Linked DNA regions of Canis lupus familiaris. The protein of the gene in region 1 interacts with the protein of each later gene in a pairwise test. Links are inferred from orthologs where the notes say so. Each region holds a gene or a part of one and is shown on either strand. Other genes may lie near its edges.

Region 1 (7,441 bases):
GGGGCTGCCCCCTAGGCTTCTTTAATATTTTTTTAAGATTTATTTATTTGAGAAAGAGAGAGAGAGAGCATGCATGGGGGCATGCATAGAAGGGGGCAGAGGTAGAGGGAGAAAAAGTCTTAAACAGACTCCACACTGAGTGCAAAGCCTGATGTGGGGGTTGATCTCATAACCCAGAGATCACAACCTGAGCCAACACCAAGAGTAGGATGTTTAACTGACTTTGCCACCCAGACACCTCATCCTAGGCTCGTTTTTTTAAGATTTTATTTATTTGTGAGAGAGAGAGAGTAAGAGAGCACATGAACAGAGGGGGTAGGGAAAAGCAGGCTCCCTGTTGAACAGGGAGCTCAATGTGGGGCTCGATCCCAGGACCCTAGGATCATGACCTGAGCTGAAGGTAGAGGCTTAACCAACTGAGCCACCCAGGTGCCCCAGGCTTGTTTTAATATTAACTCTTTTTCTCATATGTTGAAAATCTTGATGCCTAATGTTATTAACATCCTTATTTGCCTTATCCTTAAATATATCTATCATAGTTTCAAAATAGCAATGTCAATATTCTTTTTTTAAAAGATGTATTTATTTGAGAGAGAGAAAGAGGGCATGGTGGGGAGAGGGACAGGGAGAGAAACTCAAGCAGACTCTGTGCTGAGCACAGAGCCCAACATGGGGCTTGATCTCACCACGAGAGCCGAAACCAAGAGGCCCTGCTTAACCAACGGCACCACCCAGGGACCCCAGCAATGTCAATATTACCTATAACAAGACGAATGAGTGAAATTTAATATTTGTATGCACTTCTAGTTGTCCTTAGACTATAGCCCATTAGGGAGGTACAGTCAAAAGACTTATAAAGCCACTTGAAATTATTTTCTCTGTGTAGTTATACCATGCAGATGGCTCATTTGTTTCTAATTTTTATGGAGTGTTTTATTCTTTTTCTTGAATTTTGTTTTATAAATATGCAAAACATTTACAAGCTTCCAAAATAGTCACTATATAATAAGGTACATTCACAGAAGTCTCATTTACATGTCTACCCTCTCCATCCCACAAAGGAAACCATTTTTAGAAGACTGGAGTTTATTCTTCTGTTTAACTTTTGAATATAAGCAATTAACGTTTATTTATATCATCCCATTATTGGGTGATGTAAACACTATTATGCCCCTTGCTTATTTCACTTAACAATATATATGGACAACACTCCAGATTAGCATGTTTATTAGTATATGTAAGAAGTCTCCCACATATCTTTTTATCGTTGCATAGCACTCTATTCTGTGCATGTACTGTAATTTATTCAGCCAGTTCTTTATTGCCATGTGAGCAGCTTCCAATCTTTTACTACAAAAGTACCATAATGAACAACTTTTTGTATTTTTGCCAAAATATCACTAGGATTGATTCCTAGAAATTTAGGATTTAACCTAGGACTTGCGAGGTGAAATAGTAAATATATATGTAAAGTGGCTATGTGTGCGAAATATTCTTAATGAGTTACATCATTCTGCCTTCCCACAAGCAATGTAGGACAGTATTACCCTCAGGTGTATTCTGGTACCATAACAGAGGAGGCTTCAGAAATGAATCATAAACAAGGTTCCTTTCCCCAGGAACTCTCAAGTCTAGTAGAAGTCCTATGGGCAAACTAATAATGATATTTTGTAATAAGCAGAGGCAGATTTACCCCGAAGCTAATGAAGCTTAAGCCTGAGACCCTGCCTTACAGAGACACATTCCAAGGCCCCAGCTATGTGTTCATGGGACCGTTCTGTAATCTTTTTCTTAAAAAACACCTCAAATTTCTTAAGCTTCAGGCTCTGTATGACCTGAATCCACTTCACAATCTTTAGTCATCCTGGGGTTCCTGGGTGGCTCAGTCAGTCTGCCTTCAGCTCAGGTCATGATCCCAGGACCCTAGGATGGAGCCCCACATTTGGTTCCATGCTTAGCAAGGAATCTGCTTCTCCCTCTCCCACCTCCTCTGCTTATGTGCTCCTCTGTCAAATAATAAATAAAATCTTTTTTTAAAAAAAAAAACCTTTAGTCAGCCTATCTTAGGAGTTCCCAAATTGAATTTCAAGTCTCAGTTCTGCAGTCAGCTTGAGAAGAGGGATTCCTATAGTTAATGACCGAGACAGACAAAAGGAAAAAAAAAAAAAAAAAAAAAAAAAAAAAAAAAGCTCTTCTAACCAAAGGAGATACCACTCTCCTGATTCTGATCAATTACCCACACAAGCATTAAGGCCTTCCATAGTTTCCCTCTACTTTGAAGGGCAGAAACTAAGCCTTGGCTGGCATCAATACCCCAGCAGACAGCTGATGGAGACTGATCTATGATACTCAGGACAAAAGTCTTAATAGATGACAGAGCTGGGTGTTGTTGGGTTTTTTAGCGGGGTAATTACACCGGGAGAGTGGGTATTCAAGGCAGGTACACCGGAACACACACACACACACACACACACACACGCCCCAAACTACACAACTTTTGGTCAAATAAGGCAGCATCTGTGTCCTTCACCTGTAAAACAGGGTTAGTAATGAAGCCTACCCTGTGGGATTTGGTCAGGATTAGAAAAGCTAATTGAAAGACCTAACCCAGTCCCAGACTCTCTGGACAAGGTCCATAAATAGAGGACAGCAAATAAAAGGGGTAAGTGGCTGATCTTGAGAGCACCGACAGGGAATCTCCGCACGTGGAGCCTAACGCCGCACCGCACCGGAGAGGAACCACCACTCTACTGACAAACAGCAGGTGCAGAACTCAGTAGTGAGGAAGGGACGGACGCTTCAGGCGGACGCGTACTGGGCCGCGTGACTGACTGAACACTGGGCTGGTCCGAGTCTCTGAGCCACCGACAGTCTCGGGCCGGCTGTCAGGCGACTGCGTGCCGGGGTCTGAGGGGCCGCTGTCCGCCGGGCCGCGAGAGAACCGCTGTCTCCGCGGCCCACCCCGGCCCCCGGCCGCCCCATACCGCGGCCCGTCGCCGCGCGCCGGCTGGATCCCGACTCCCCGCGGGGGCCGCCGCCCGGCAGGGCCAGGTGCGGGCGCCGTCGTCCCTCCCGCCCCGCGCCGGGCAGGGCGCCCCCGACTCCCCGCGGCCGCGGCCCGGGAACAATGAGGCGCCGGCTTCTTTAAGGGAGATACCACCGCGCCGGCGGGGCAGGGGACGGCGTCCTCCCGGATGATCGCACCCAGTCCCGCGCCGCCGCCGCCTGGGCAACTACACCGTCCGCAAACATGGCTCAGTGACTCTGACAAAAGGTGCAGCCTCCCTCCCGGCGGGGCGGACGCCAGGCCTCCCAGCTCGGGCCGCGCCTCCCCGCGGGCCAGCCGAACAGCTCCGCGGCCCGCAGGAACCCCAGGCCCGAACCCAAGAAGATGCACCAGGCGTTCCGCCCCAGCGACCCCCGCACACCTGCCCGCAGCTCGGTAGGTGGGAAGGGGGGCGGGGAGGCAGCGGGGAGGCGCGCCGGGCGCGCGCACCCCCAGGCCCGGACCCGCTGCCGCAGACCGTCCCCCGGGGCCGCGGGCCGTGCGCGCTCGCTGCGGCTGGACGGTGACCGAGCCCCGGCGGGCAGCGGCCTCCCCGTTCCGGGCCCGGCCACCCCTGCAGGGAGGGGCACTAGTGGTGCGTTCCGGGGCGCGCACACCTTCGGCGACTCCCGGCTCCCGCGAGCCACAGGAGAGGGAGGAGGCCGGCGGAGCGCGGGGCGCGCGCCCAATAGGGACGGCGCTCGGCGTCCCGGCTCGCGCTACGGAAAGCCGGAGGGGGGCGGGGCCGCACGGCGTAAGGGGGTGTGTCCGCGCGCACCACGGGGGCGCGCGCCGGTCTCTGACTGGAGGCCGCGGCGGCTGAGGCGCGAGCTGCCCGATAATGGCGGCCTGCAGCGCCCGTGAGAGGGAGAAGCGGCGGCGGCTACCCTGAGGTAAATCTGGCCCTTAGGCCTGGCACCGAGGCCCTGCTGCAGAGCCAAGGACCCTGCATGCGCCTCCCTCCCCGGGAGGCCTGTCACAGACCTGTCAGCGGAGTCATCCTACGGAAGGCCCCGCGCTGCTCAGGCCTCCGGCCCGCACCCCTCAGGCCACCGGCGCCAGCTGCGGCCTCCTCTTCTGCCCCTGGGCTCCTCCCCAGGCCCCGGGCCTCAGCCGCCAGCCCCGAGGAGTTGGGGCCGCCGCGGGACTGGCTCCTCGGGGTGAAGGGCCTCGGGAGGATCCCCTCCGGGTTTCCTCTGGACGCCGCCGGGGAGGGGGAGGGCCTGATACTCGGCCAATGAGCGGGGCGCTGAGCCGCCGCGTCGGGCAACACCTCTGCCCGGGACTGGCCCTTCCCGGGCCGGCAGGTGTGTGGCCTGGCCCGCCGGCGGCCGTGCGCGGGCTCGGCGGGGCCCGCGGGAGGCCGGGGAAGTGCCGGCCGGCCGGCCGCGGGGGCTCGCGTCCAGGGGCTGCGTGAACGCCCCCTCCCCCTTACTCGGGTGCTCTTTCGCGCGTGGCCATGGGACAGCCTGCAGGAGACGAGCCGCTTTGAGCTGCAGAGTAATTGGCGCTCCACGGGGAGCAGGGGAGAGCGCCGTGGGTGGACCTGGGGCAAGGCGTCCGTGGCAGGGCATCGGGCGCTAGGAATTGCGGCAGGAATTTGAAGGGGGTTCCAGTTAGAGGAAGTGGGACCAAGGAAGTAATCTCAGAAGCTTTCATTTTCTTTATTAAATCCATCCTATGAACTTAAAGTAGCTGTACCCAATTTTTCAAGCTCAACAGCCAATAGCTTCTTCCCCTCCTCTCCAAACTGCACGCTGTAAAGATTGTACAATCTCTTGCCCATCGTGGCAATCTACAAATGAGAATCTGTTCCAGAAACTCGTGAGGATTTTAACATTCTTTGGAGAATGAGGTGGCACACTTCAGAATTTCTTGATTCAACTCACCAGCATTTCTGTGTCAGGCCTTTGCTTCTAAGCCTTTAAATGATTTATCAAGTTGAATTTGAAAGCACCCTGTCCAAGAGCCCCATCATATAGAGGACAGTTTTTGGTGGCAAAAATGGCCTACATCTAAATAGGTGTTTAACAACAGAAAGGTAACAATATTCTAAGTAGCTTGCTTTATTTTTAAAGGACCATTTTTTCTCCACAAACTTCATTTATTTTGCAAGAAATGAGAAATAGCAAAATTAAAATAGGGACATATACAGTTTGTTTACTTTTAAAAAAAAAACCTACATATTTTCAGTTCTATATGTAACCTGGTTCACTTTCAGTCCCTAAGCACAAGCCAGTTATATTTCTGTGAGAGGGTTTTTTTCGTTTTGACATGTTTATGAACTTTTGTGTGTGTCAGCTTTAAGGAGAAGCAGTGGAGTGCTCATCATAAGAATGATTAATTCTTTGGTTTATTTTTAACAGTAATATTTTGAAGCAGTTTGTGCAAGAGGCGGTATAGTGTAATGGTTATGGTTATGAATGTCAGAGCCAAGTGGCCAGGTTTCAAAACCCAGGTCTACCAGTTAGTAGCTGTTTGACCTTAGGCATGTTGCTTAAATTCTTCGTGATTTAGTTTTCTCAACTATAAAATGATTGTAATAACATCTATTTCATAATATTGTTTGAGGATTAAAAGTGCTTGGAACAGTTCCTGATACATGGTAATACCAAAGTGTTAGCTGCTTTATTATTATTATTCAAATATTTAGATTTGCCCATGATATAACAAATCTTTTTCAAGCATTGCAAACAGTGAGACAGATAATTAAATCATACATAAGAAGGTATACAAACCAGTAAGTATACTTAATTTCAACAGAGCACTTTGTTGATTTTCCAGAAACTTTGACCTTGAAGATGGTGAGTAGCCAGCCAAAGTACGATCTAATACGGGAGGTAGGCCGAGGCAGTTACGGTGTTGTGTATGAAGCAGTCATCAGAAAGACCTCTGCACGGGTGGCAGTGAAGAAAATTCGATGCCATGCACCTGAAAATGTTGAACTAGCCCTGCGTGAGTTCTGGGCACTAAGCAGTATCAAGAGCCAACATCCAAATGTGATTCACTTGGAGGAATGCATCCTACAAAAAGATGGGATGGTGCAAAAAATGTCCCACGGCTCTAATTCTTCCCTTTATTTACAGGTATGTATGGTTAATGGGAAATAGAAATGACTTGAACTTCACATTGGTCAGCAAGAAGAGGAACAAAAGTGTTGAGTGAACTTTTACTTTAAATACAGGTGTTTATATAGTTAGGAGTAGGTAAGGGTCTGCCAAGAACTGAGTAGATGTTTTCTTTAAAACAAGGTTTTATTTAAACCTGTGATGCAAATACCTAAAAATAACATAAGCCACCTGTTATGCCATGATACTTGCCAGTCTGCATGGGAATGGGACAACATAGGAGCTAGAGAAGTGATCGAGATTAGAGTCTAATAAATTCACCTATTTGAAATCAATTTTTTTTTTTTTTGGAACTGAAGCCAGAAGAAAAGGAAAAACTCCATAATCAGCAGCACCCATATAGATAATTGGGCATTTTAAAATAAATCTGGTTTGAATATAAGCCTCCTCTATTTTAGAGGATTGTGTGGTTTCTTAACCATGCAACTCTAGTTAATTTTCATGAAGTATATGGCATGGCACTTGAATGTTTTTTTTTTTTTTTTTTAAGATATCATTTATTTATAAGAGACATAGAGAAAAAGAGGCAGAGACATAGAGGGAGAAGCAGGCTCCATGCAGGATCCCCCATGTGGGACTCCAGGAGCATGCCCTGAGCCAAAGGCAGATGCTCAGCCGCTGAGCCACCCAGGTGTCCCAACACTAGAATGTTATTAATAGTGCTAAGAGCTAACATTTGGGTTCCTACTCAGTTCCACACTCTGCTAAGTGTTTTGTTTTTTATTTTTAAAAGATTTTATTTATTTATTCATGAGAGAGGCAGAGACATAGGCAGAATGAGAAGCAGGCTCCATGCAAGGAGCTGGATGTGGGACTCGATCCCGGAACTACGGAATCATGCCCCAAGCTGAAGCCAAACACTCAACCAATGAGCCACCCAGGTGCCCCTCTGCTAAGTATTTTAAAGGCAGCTGCTCAGAACAATCCTATGAGGATAGTACTATTATTATCATCATTATAGATGAAGAAACAGAGGCTTAGAATACATAATCTATGCAAGTCACATATACAGCAAATGGCAGAATTGGGAGCTGAATGTAGGACTGTATCTGACTGCTAAAACTTTTGTTCCCTTAACTTCCAAATTACTCTTGCTCTCAAATTACTTTTTGTAGACCTGGGGAAAGCATTAACATAGGAAAACAGAAAATGTTTGTTTGTTTAAGGTTGGCTTCTGGCATAGATCAAAATCTCTAGTAGGTCTATATTTGCTGAAGAGAAAAGATACTTAAGACATTGTTAGTTGAAGACCAGAGAAAAAATTCCA
Region 2 (7,652 bases), on another chromosome or scaffold:
CACCGCCTTCAGCCCAGGGTGTGATCCTGGAGACCCGTTATTGAGTCCCACGTCAGGCTCCCTGCATGGAGCCTGCTTCTCCCTCTGCCTGTGTCTCTGCCTCTCTCTCTCTTTCTCTCAAATAAATAAAATTTTAAAGAATGAGATAGTTTGGGTGTTTAACATGGTCCAGCCTTGGGTTTCCCTCCAACAGCTGGCAATGACCTTATCGGTTTCCTTTTCAAATAGATTTTCCTGCCCAAGCACATCTGTCTTCCTTTCACACAGACCATGCAAAACATGCAGCTAGAAACACAACCCTAGGGCAGCCTGGGTGGCTCAGCAGTTTAGCGCCGCCTTCAGTCCAGGGCGTGATCCTGGAGACCCAGGATCGAGTCCTGTGTCAGGTTCCCTGCATGGAGCCTGCTTCTCCCTCTGCCTGTGTCTCTGCCTCTCTCTCTTTCTCTGTGTCTCTCATGAATAAATAAATCTTAAAAAAACAACAAAAACACAACCCTGGGAAGGAAGGAGGGTCCAGACAGTGGCCGGGGGACAAGCATGCATATATGTAAGTGCGTGTGAATACGTGTGAACACGTGAGCGTGAGCACGTGGGAGAGAATGAGTACCTGAGTGTGAACACACGTGGGAGCATGAGCGCATGTATGAGTGTGAGCGTGAGCGCAGAAGCGTGCACAATAGCCCCGCGTGTGTCCTCACCTGCTGCCAGAAGCAGCCCGCGGGGGATCTGCCTGAAGGGGCCCCACCTAGTCTGCAGGGCAGGTATGCAGCGGCGGGATGGGGGGGGGGGGGCGCTCACATTTATGCACTAGATAGGCTCACTGGGTGTATTTCCAGGCTGAGGGAGGCGGTCCCCAGGAGCAGAGGAGTCAGCGCCTGGAGAGAAGAGTAAGAAGCACGTGTGCTGGGGAACAACGCGCAGAGGGACCCTCGAGCAGTACATGGGGCCGAGCACAACACAGGTCACTTTTCGACCTTTACAGTTAACTGGAAAATCTAATGCTTCTGACAAAACTGCCTATTTTAAATGTTCTCACCTGTAAAAATATAATAACCAGCACTCTCCTGGATGGCGAAGCACACCTACGGTGGCTGCTGCAATTGTGGGGCGCCACCAGGAGGCCAGTCCTGGAGGGGCAGCGGCCAGCCAGGCCAGAGAACAGACTGGTGTCCCTCAGCCCTGGCAGAGGGTCGATGGGCCAGAGGACAAGCTGGCGTGCCTCAGTTCTGGCAGGGGGTGGGGGGAGTCGATGAGCCAAAGGACAGACTGGTGTCCCTCAGTCCTGGGGCGGGGTGGGGGAGAGTCGATGAGCCAGAGGACAGACTGGTGTCCCTCGGTCCTGGGGGGTGTCAATGGGCCAGAGGACAAGCTGGTATCCCTCAGTCCTGGGGGGGTAGGGCTGATGGGCCAAAGGACAGGCTGGTGTCCCTCAGTCCTGGGGGGAGGGCCAATGGGCCAGAGGACAGACTGGTGTCCCTCAGCCCTGGGGGAGGGTCGATGGGCCAGAGGACAAGCTGGCGTGCCTCAGTCCTGGGAGAGGGGAGTCAATGAGCCAGAGGACAGACTGGTGTCCCTCAGCCCTGGGGGAGGGTCGATGGGCCAGAGGACAAGCTGGTGTCCCTCAGTCCTGGGGGGGGTGCCAATGGGTCAGGGGACAGACTGGTGTCCCTCAGACCTGGGGTGGGGTGGTGATGGACCAGAGGCCAGACTAGTGTCCCTCAGTGTTGGGGGGTTCGATGAGCCAGAGGACAGAGCTGGTGTCCCTCAGTCCTGGGGTGGGGTGGCGATGGGCCAGAGGAAGAGCTGGTGTCCCTAAGCCCTGGTGGGGGAGTGAGGGGGTCAATGGGCCAGAGGACAGACAGGTGTCCCTCAGTGTTGGAAGGGGTCGATGGGCCAGAGGACAGACAGGTATCCCTCAGTGTTTGCGGAGTCGATGGGCCTGAGGACAGGCTGGTGTCCCTCAGTGTTGTAGGGGGTCGATGGGCCAGAGGACAGGCAAGTGTCCCTCAGTGTTTGAGGGGTCCATGGGCCTGAGGCCAGACTGGTGTCCCTCAGTGTTGGGAGGGGGTCGATGGACCAGAGGACAGACAGGTGTCCCTCAGTATTGGGGGCGGATGGGCCAGAGGATGGACAGGTGTCCCTCAGTGTTGGGGGGGTCGATGGGCCAGAGGACAGACAGGTGTCCCTCAGTGTTGGGGGGGGGTCGATGGACCAGAGGACAGACAGGTGTCCCTCAGTATTGGGGGCGGATGGGCCAGAGGATGGACAGGTGTCCCTCAGTGTTGGGGGGGTTGATGGGCCAGAGGATAGACAGGTGTCCCTCAGTGTTGGGGGCGGTCGATGGGCCAGAAGATGGACAGGTGTCCCTCAGGGTTGGGGAGTGGATGGGACAGAGGACAGACAGGTATCCTTCAGTGTTGGCGGGATCAATGGGCCAGAGGACAAACAGGTGTCCCTCAGTGTTGGCGGGGTCGATGGGCCAGAGGACAGACAGGAGTCCCGGATGGGCCAGAGGACACACAGGTGTCCCTCAGTCCTGGGGGAGTTGATGGGCCAGAGGACGGACAGGTATCCCTCAGTGTTGGGGGGGCCGATAGGCCAGAGAACAGACAGGTATCCCTCAGTGTTGGGCGGGGGGATGGGCCAGAAAACAGGCAGGTGTCCCTCAGTTCTGGGGAATCAATGGCCTGAGAGGGACAGGTGTCCTTCAGTCCTGGGGTTCGATGGCCCGAGGACGGAAAGGGGTCCCTCAGACCTGGGGGTTGATAGCCCAAGGACGGACAGGCGTCCCTCAGGTGGGGTCGGTCGCGAGGACGGACAGGCGCCCCTCAGCTGGGGTCGGTCGCGAGGACGGACAGGCGCCCCTCAGCTGGGGTCGGTCCCGAGGACCGCGCGGCCCTCAGTCCGCGGGGAGGCTGGCGGGCGGTGCAGCGGCGTCTCCAGGCAGCAGTCCTCGCCCTCAGCGCTGGGCCTGGGCGTCCTAGCGAGCCTGGGTTCGTCCGTCTAAACTCTGGGAGGCGTCCCTGGGCTCGTCGGGTCCCCGCGCCGCCGGGAGGCCGGGCGCTGGCCGGGGCCGCGGAGGAGCCGCCCGCCGGGTGACCCGGGAGGAAGCGCCGTCCGAGGCCGTCCGCGCCCGGGGGTAAGGGCCAGAGGCGGTCCCCGCAGCGGTCAAGCCCGGGCCGGTCGTGTAGTCCCTGCCGCCGACCTGGAGGAAGAAGCCCGCAGGGACTCGCCAGCCGGCAGCCCCCGGGCCGGGCACTCCCGCGCTGCCGCGACGCGCGGACTCCAGGGACCGGAGCCCAGAAGCCCGCCCCCCCGGAGAGCGAAGAGAGACCGCCCTCCGGCGGACAACCACTTCCCGCCTTACTCCAGACACGTGGCCGGCGCCCAAGGCGGTGCCCCTCACAAACATGGCCGCCTTTCCCCCCACCCCCATGCTGTGACCTCGGAGGCGCCCCTCACAACCATGGCCGCCGCACCCTTAAATGCTGTGAACACAGGAGCAGCCAGCAGGTGCCCTTCACAAACATGGCCGCCGCCCCTCTTAAGTCCTGTGGCCACAGCGGAAGCCCGCCGGGTGCCCCTCAAAAACCTGGCCGTCGCCCCGCCCGCTGCGCACAGCGCCGACTTTGTTGGGTCACGTGCCTGAGGACGCCGGGCTGTGATTGGCCGAGCTGCTGGTGTCGTCAGACGCCGGGGGCGCGGGCCGAGCACCGCGGGGCTGCGGCTCCTCTGAGAAGCGTTAGGTCGGGACGCGGGGTTCTGGGGCGGTGCTGGGGGCGGCAGTGCGCCGCTCACACTCATGAGGAGCCGGAAGGTGAGGGGCCTAGGCCGTGCAGGAGCTGCGCCAAGGCGGCTGGGGCTCCGGCCACCCGTTGTCTGGGAGCCGAGGAGTGGCCGCGGGACGCCCGGGGCCGAGGGGCGGCCTCTGGTCGGCACCCCCTGGGCCGTCCCCGGGGCAGGGCCTCCCAGACCTGCCGTTGGGTGGGGGAGCACCCCGGGTCACGCCCCCCCGGGTCGGGGTCTCCCGGGCCAGCCCGGGGAGGGGGGGCGGGGCGGTCCTCGGGGTCACGCGCCCCAGGTCGGGGTCGGGGTCTCCCAGGCCAGCCGGGGGAGGGGAGGGGGCGGGGCGGTCCTCGGGGTCACGTGCCCCGGGTCGGGGTCTCCCAGACCTGCCATCGGGGGGAGGGTCTTCAGGGTCACGTGCCCCGGGTCGGGGTGGGGGGGTCTCCCAGACCAGCCATCGGGGGGACGGTCCTCAGGGTCACGTACCCCGGGTCGGGGTCTCCCAGACCAGCCATCGGGGGGAGGGTCTTCAGGGTCCCGTACCCCAGGTCGGGGTCTCCCAGACCAGCCGGAGGAGTGGGGCGGGTCGGTCCTCACGGTCCCGTGCCCTGGGTCGGGGTCTCCCCTGGAACCAGCCGGGAGCCCCGAGCGCTGCCGCCGCCCCTGAAGCCACTTGGTTTTTCAGCAGGTGACCTCAGCTTGGCCCAGGAGGGTGGGAGGCGACTGACCGCGCGCCGGGCCCTGGCCCTGGGCACCTGGGCTGGGCCGGGTCCTGGGGAGGGGCGGAGTCTTTATGGGCGTCCTCATTCATTCGTTCTTAAAGATCTTATGTACTTATTTGAGAGAGAGCGCACCGAGGGAAGGGCAGAGGGAGAGAGGTTCCCCGCTGCGCAGGCCCCCCCCCCCAACACACACCCGGTTCGGGGCCTCCATCCCAGGACCCTGAGGTGCTGACCTGAGCTCTGAGCCACCAGGCGCGCCCCCACCAGTTCACGTTAAAGTCGGACCCCCGTTTTACCATTCTGTCATTTTACTTTTGTTTTCTTTAAATACGTTTGGTTTCTTCTGTTCCTTGTTTAAATGCATTAAAATGAATATTTTCTACTGTAGCATTTTAATTATTCACTTTTTTATAATATTTTTCTCCCAGCAGTTGCTCTAGGTTTTGCCATGTCCCGTAACTTAGTGGAATCAGCTTAAGTCCAGTGAGATATAAAAGTGGACCTTCCCTTTACCTCTCTTGGAGGGTTATTGTGCCTGTTCCCTCCTCCATCCTTTCCCGTTAGAAACGCGGCAGTCCTGCTCTCATGGTCTCTCCGTCTGCAGGCCATTCCTCTGCGCAGGTCGGCCGTGCCTCCACCCCATCCGCTGTGCTGTTGCTGCCAAACACAGCACCTTTATACGCCGTCAGCTGCTGCTCAAATCCGTGAAGAGAGGAAGGAGGTACTAGTGTAGGGACTTGGTGCTTGTTCTATGACCATGAACTCCCATCCCGGATCACAGAACCTCCCTGAGGATTCCTGTAAGACAGCTCTGCTGGCCGCCATTCTCTGGTACCTGGGAGTGTCTTGCTGTCATCCAGAAGGATAGCTTTCCAGATGGACGATGTTTCGTTGGCAGATTTTTTTCTTTGAGAACTTGGGATGTGTTTGACGAGACCCATTGTTTCTGCTAAGTTAACTGTTGTTTCTGCTAAGTTAACTGTTTGTCTATGCAGCTCCCTTGTAGTGAGGAGTTGTTTTCTCCCGCCGTTTTCACGATTTCTCTTGTCTTTGGCTCTCCGCAGTGTCTCTTTATGGAGCTCCTTGCATTTCTCCTACTGGGAGTTCGGTTCTTGGAGACTCCTGTTTGTTGGTGGTGGTTTTTCAATACATTTGGGAAGTCTGAGCCATTATTTCTCTGCATATGTTTTCTGCCCCTTTCCTTCCTCAGGCTCCCATTACACATATGTTGGTGCCCTTAATTGTGTCCAGTGTGTCCTCGATTCTTTTTTCTCTATCCAGTGCTTTAGCTGTGGTTTTTTTAGCTCTTGAACGTTTTTTAGCTCTTGAACGTGTTCGTAATGGGTACTTTTAAGGCTTTGTCTGATAACCTCAACCCTGGTCACTCTCACAGGCACTTCTGTTGGTGGCCTTTATTCCAGTGCAAGGGCCTGCTTTCCTGCTTTCTTGCGTGCTCCATAATTTGTAGTTGAAACTGGGCATTTCAGATAATGTAGGAATTCTGGGTTCCTGCTTCCACCCCCACTCCGTGGCTTCTTGTCAGGCTTTGTTTAGTGACCAGGCAGATTCTCCTCTTGGACTCGTCCCCCCACCCTACCCTCACCGGGCAAAGGTTGGACCTGCCCTCCAAGGCCACACTGGGCAGCCCACAGGCACACTGGGATGGAGAAAGCCAGCTTCCTCTCCTTCTCCTACCACACCTGGCTGTTAAACTCCCATTGAACGCCATTTGATTGCTCAGTTGTTTTCCACAGTAGCCTGGGGCATAAATTGCTCAGTTGACTATGTGGCCTGAAGTTGATCTTGATTCTCCGTCTAACTGTCTCTCCACAGTCTTCTGTTCTAGAGACCCGCCTTAGGCATGACCTTCTCCACACCTCTCACAAATGAAGTCAGTTCCTTGGGGAAGAGATTAAGAGTTTCTGTTTTAGTGTCTGCCTTTTCCTCAGGCATTCTCTGAATCGGCTCCGTCTGGGACAGTGACAGGCTTCACTGTATGACACTTCTGATTCTGAATGCTCTGGGAGAGGGGGTGCTGGCAGCAGCCCGAGATCCCCTCGGCTTGCTTCTCCTGGTCTGGAACCACCTCCACAAGCAAGGGCTAGGGTGATGGGGTCCCAGTCTTAGTGCTCTGCCCAGGGTGGAGCCTCTACCCACAGCTGGGGTCGGGGCAGAATGAGAAAGGCTGACATCCTGCCCCGTGTGGGAGGAAACCCTTCCGCCTGGGAGTGGGAGGGCACCTGTGTTCTCAGCACTGGCAGTCTAGAGTTCAAATACCACTGAGTTATAGGAGGTCTTGAGTGATTGTTCATCTGCTCTTTGCCCACAGGACCATCTCCAAAAGTCTTCAATGATTTTTCATCCTTCTTGCCAGTTTTATGGGGGGTCAACAGGGCTCTTCATGCTGTCCTGTTGGACATCAATCTTGTCCTGCCCTTTGGGAAGCCACATTTTTGCCTTTGACATCCCACTTTTTAAGCAGTCTGCTTGGAAGGCAGAAGACCTCAACAATGAGAAGTTTCTCATTTGGGGATTAAGTGGAAGCAACCAGCTCTCAGAGACAAGAAACTGCTCCATCCTTAACCAAGAGTGGGAGCTTGTACCTTGGGGGAGGAGGCAGCTGTGACTGCTTTCAAGCCAGCAAGCTGCCAGACTTGACTGCAGCTCTCACGTGGATGGCAGGTGGTACCCAGAACAACCACAGCCCCTGAGTGTCCACCCGGAGCCCCCAAGTTTGCCTCTTCAAGGGGGCCTGGAAAGTCAAAGGTGAACAAGCCCCCTCGGGGAGCCTAGTGCACCCCCGGGTTACAGTCCCTGCCTCGGGGACAAAGAGGGAAGGATAAGAGCCAGGACAGCCACTCCCCTGCCCAGCCCGTGCGGAGTAGCCAAGCAGCTGCATGCTGGCAGCTCTTAGAGCTCATAGATGGGAGAGCCCTGTGACATGATGCAGGGCAAGAAGGACTTTGAGGCCACATGTCACTTGGGTCACCTCAAACAGGCTCCTCACTGGAGCCATCTTCACTCTAAAGTGAGAAGGCTGCTTTGGAAGCTATTCAAGCACAGCGCCTGCTCTGTCAGTCCTCTGTCAGACCTCAGTGACACTGGGAGCTGTAGTCAGGGCCAGTCCCGCACCCCCAGCTAAGC

The links.
Region 2: the proteins of PDIK1L (region 1) and C5H1orf174 interact in binary tests that used the Homo sapiens proteins (3 or more experiments, as listed by UniProt). The two-hybrid records come from large-scale screens. The link is inferred for Canis lupus familiaris from reciprocal best matches to the Homo sapiens genes PDIK1L and C1orf174.

What each region holds. Positions count from the first base shown.
Region 1 is NC_049223.1:73,255,277-73,262,717, reverse strand, and holds the start of PDIK1L (serine/threonine-protein kinase PDIK1L), read left to right. Parts: upstream 1-3,195; 5' UTR 3,196-3,442; intron 3,443-3,800; exon of another isoform or gene 3,801-3,939; intron 3,940-4,030; exon of another isoform or gene 4,031-4,224; intron 4,225-5,830; 5' UTR 5,831-5,847; coding exon 5,848-6,132; intron 6,133-7,441.
Region 2 is NC_049226.1:58,836,817-58,844,468, reverse strand, and holds the start of C5H1orf174 (UPF0688 protein C1orf174 homolog), read left to right. Parts: upstream 1-3,662; 5' UTR 3,663-3,802; coding exon 3,803-3,817; intron 3,818-7,652.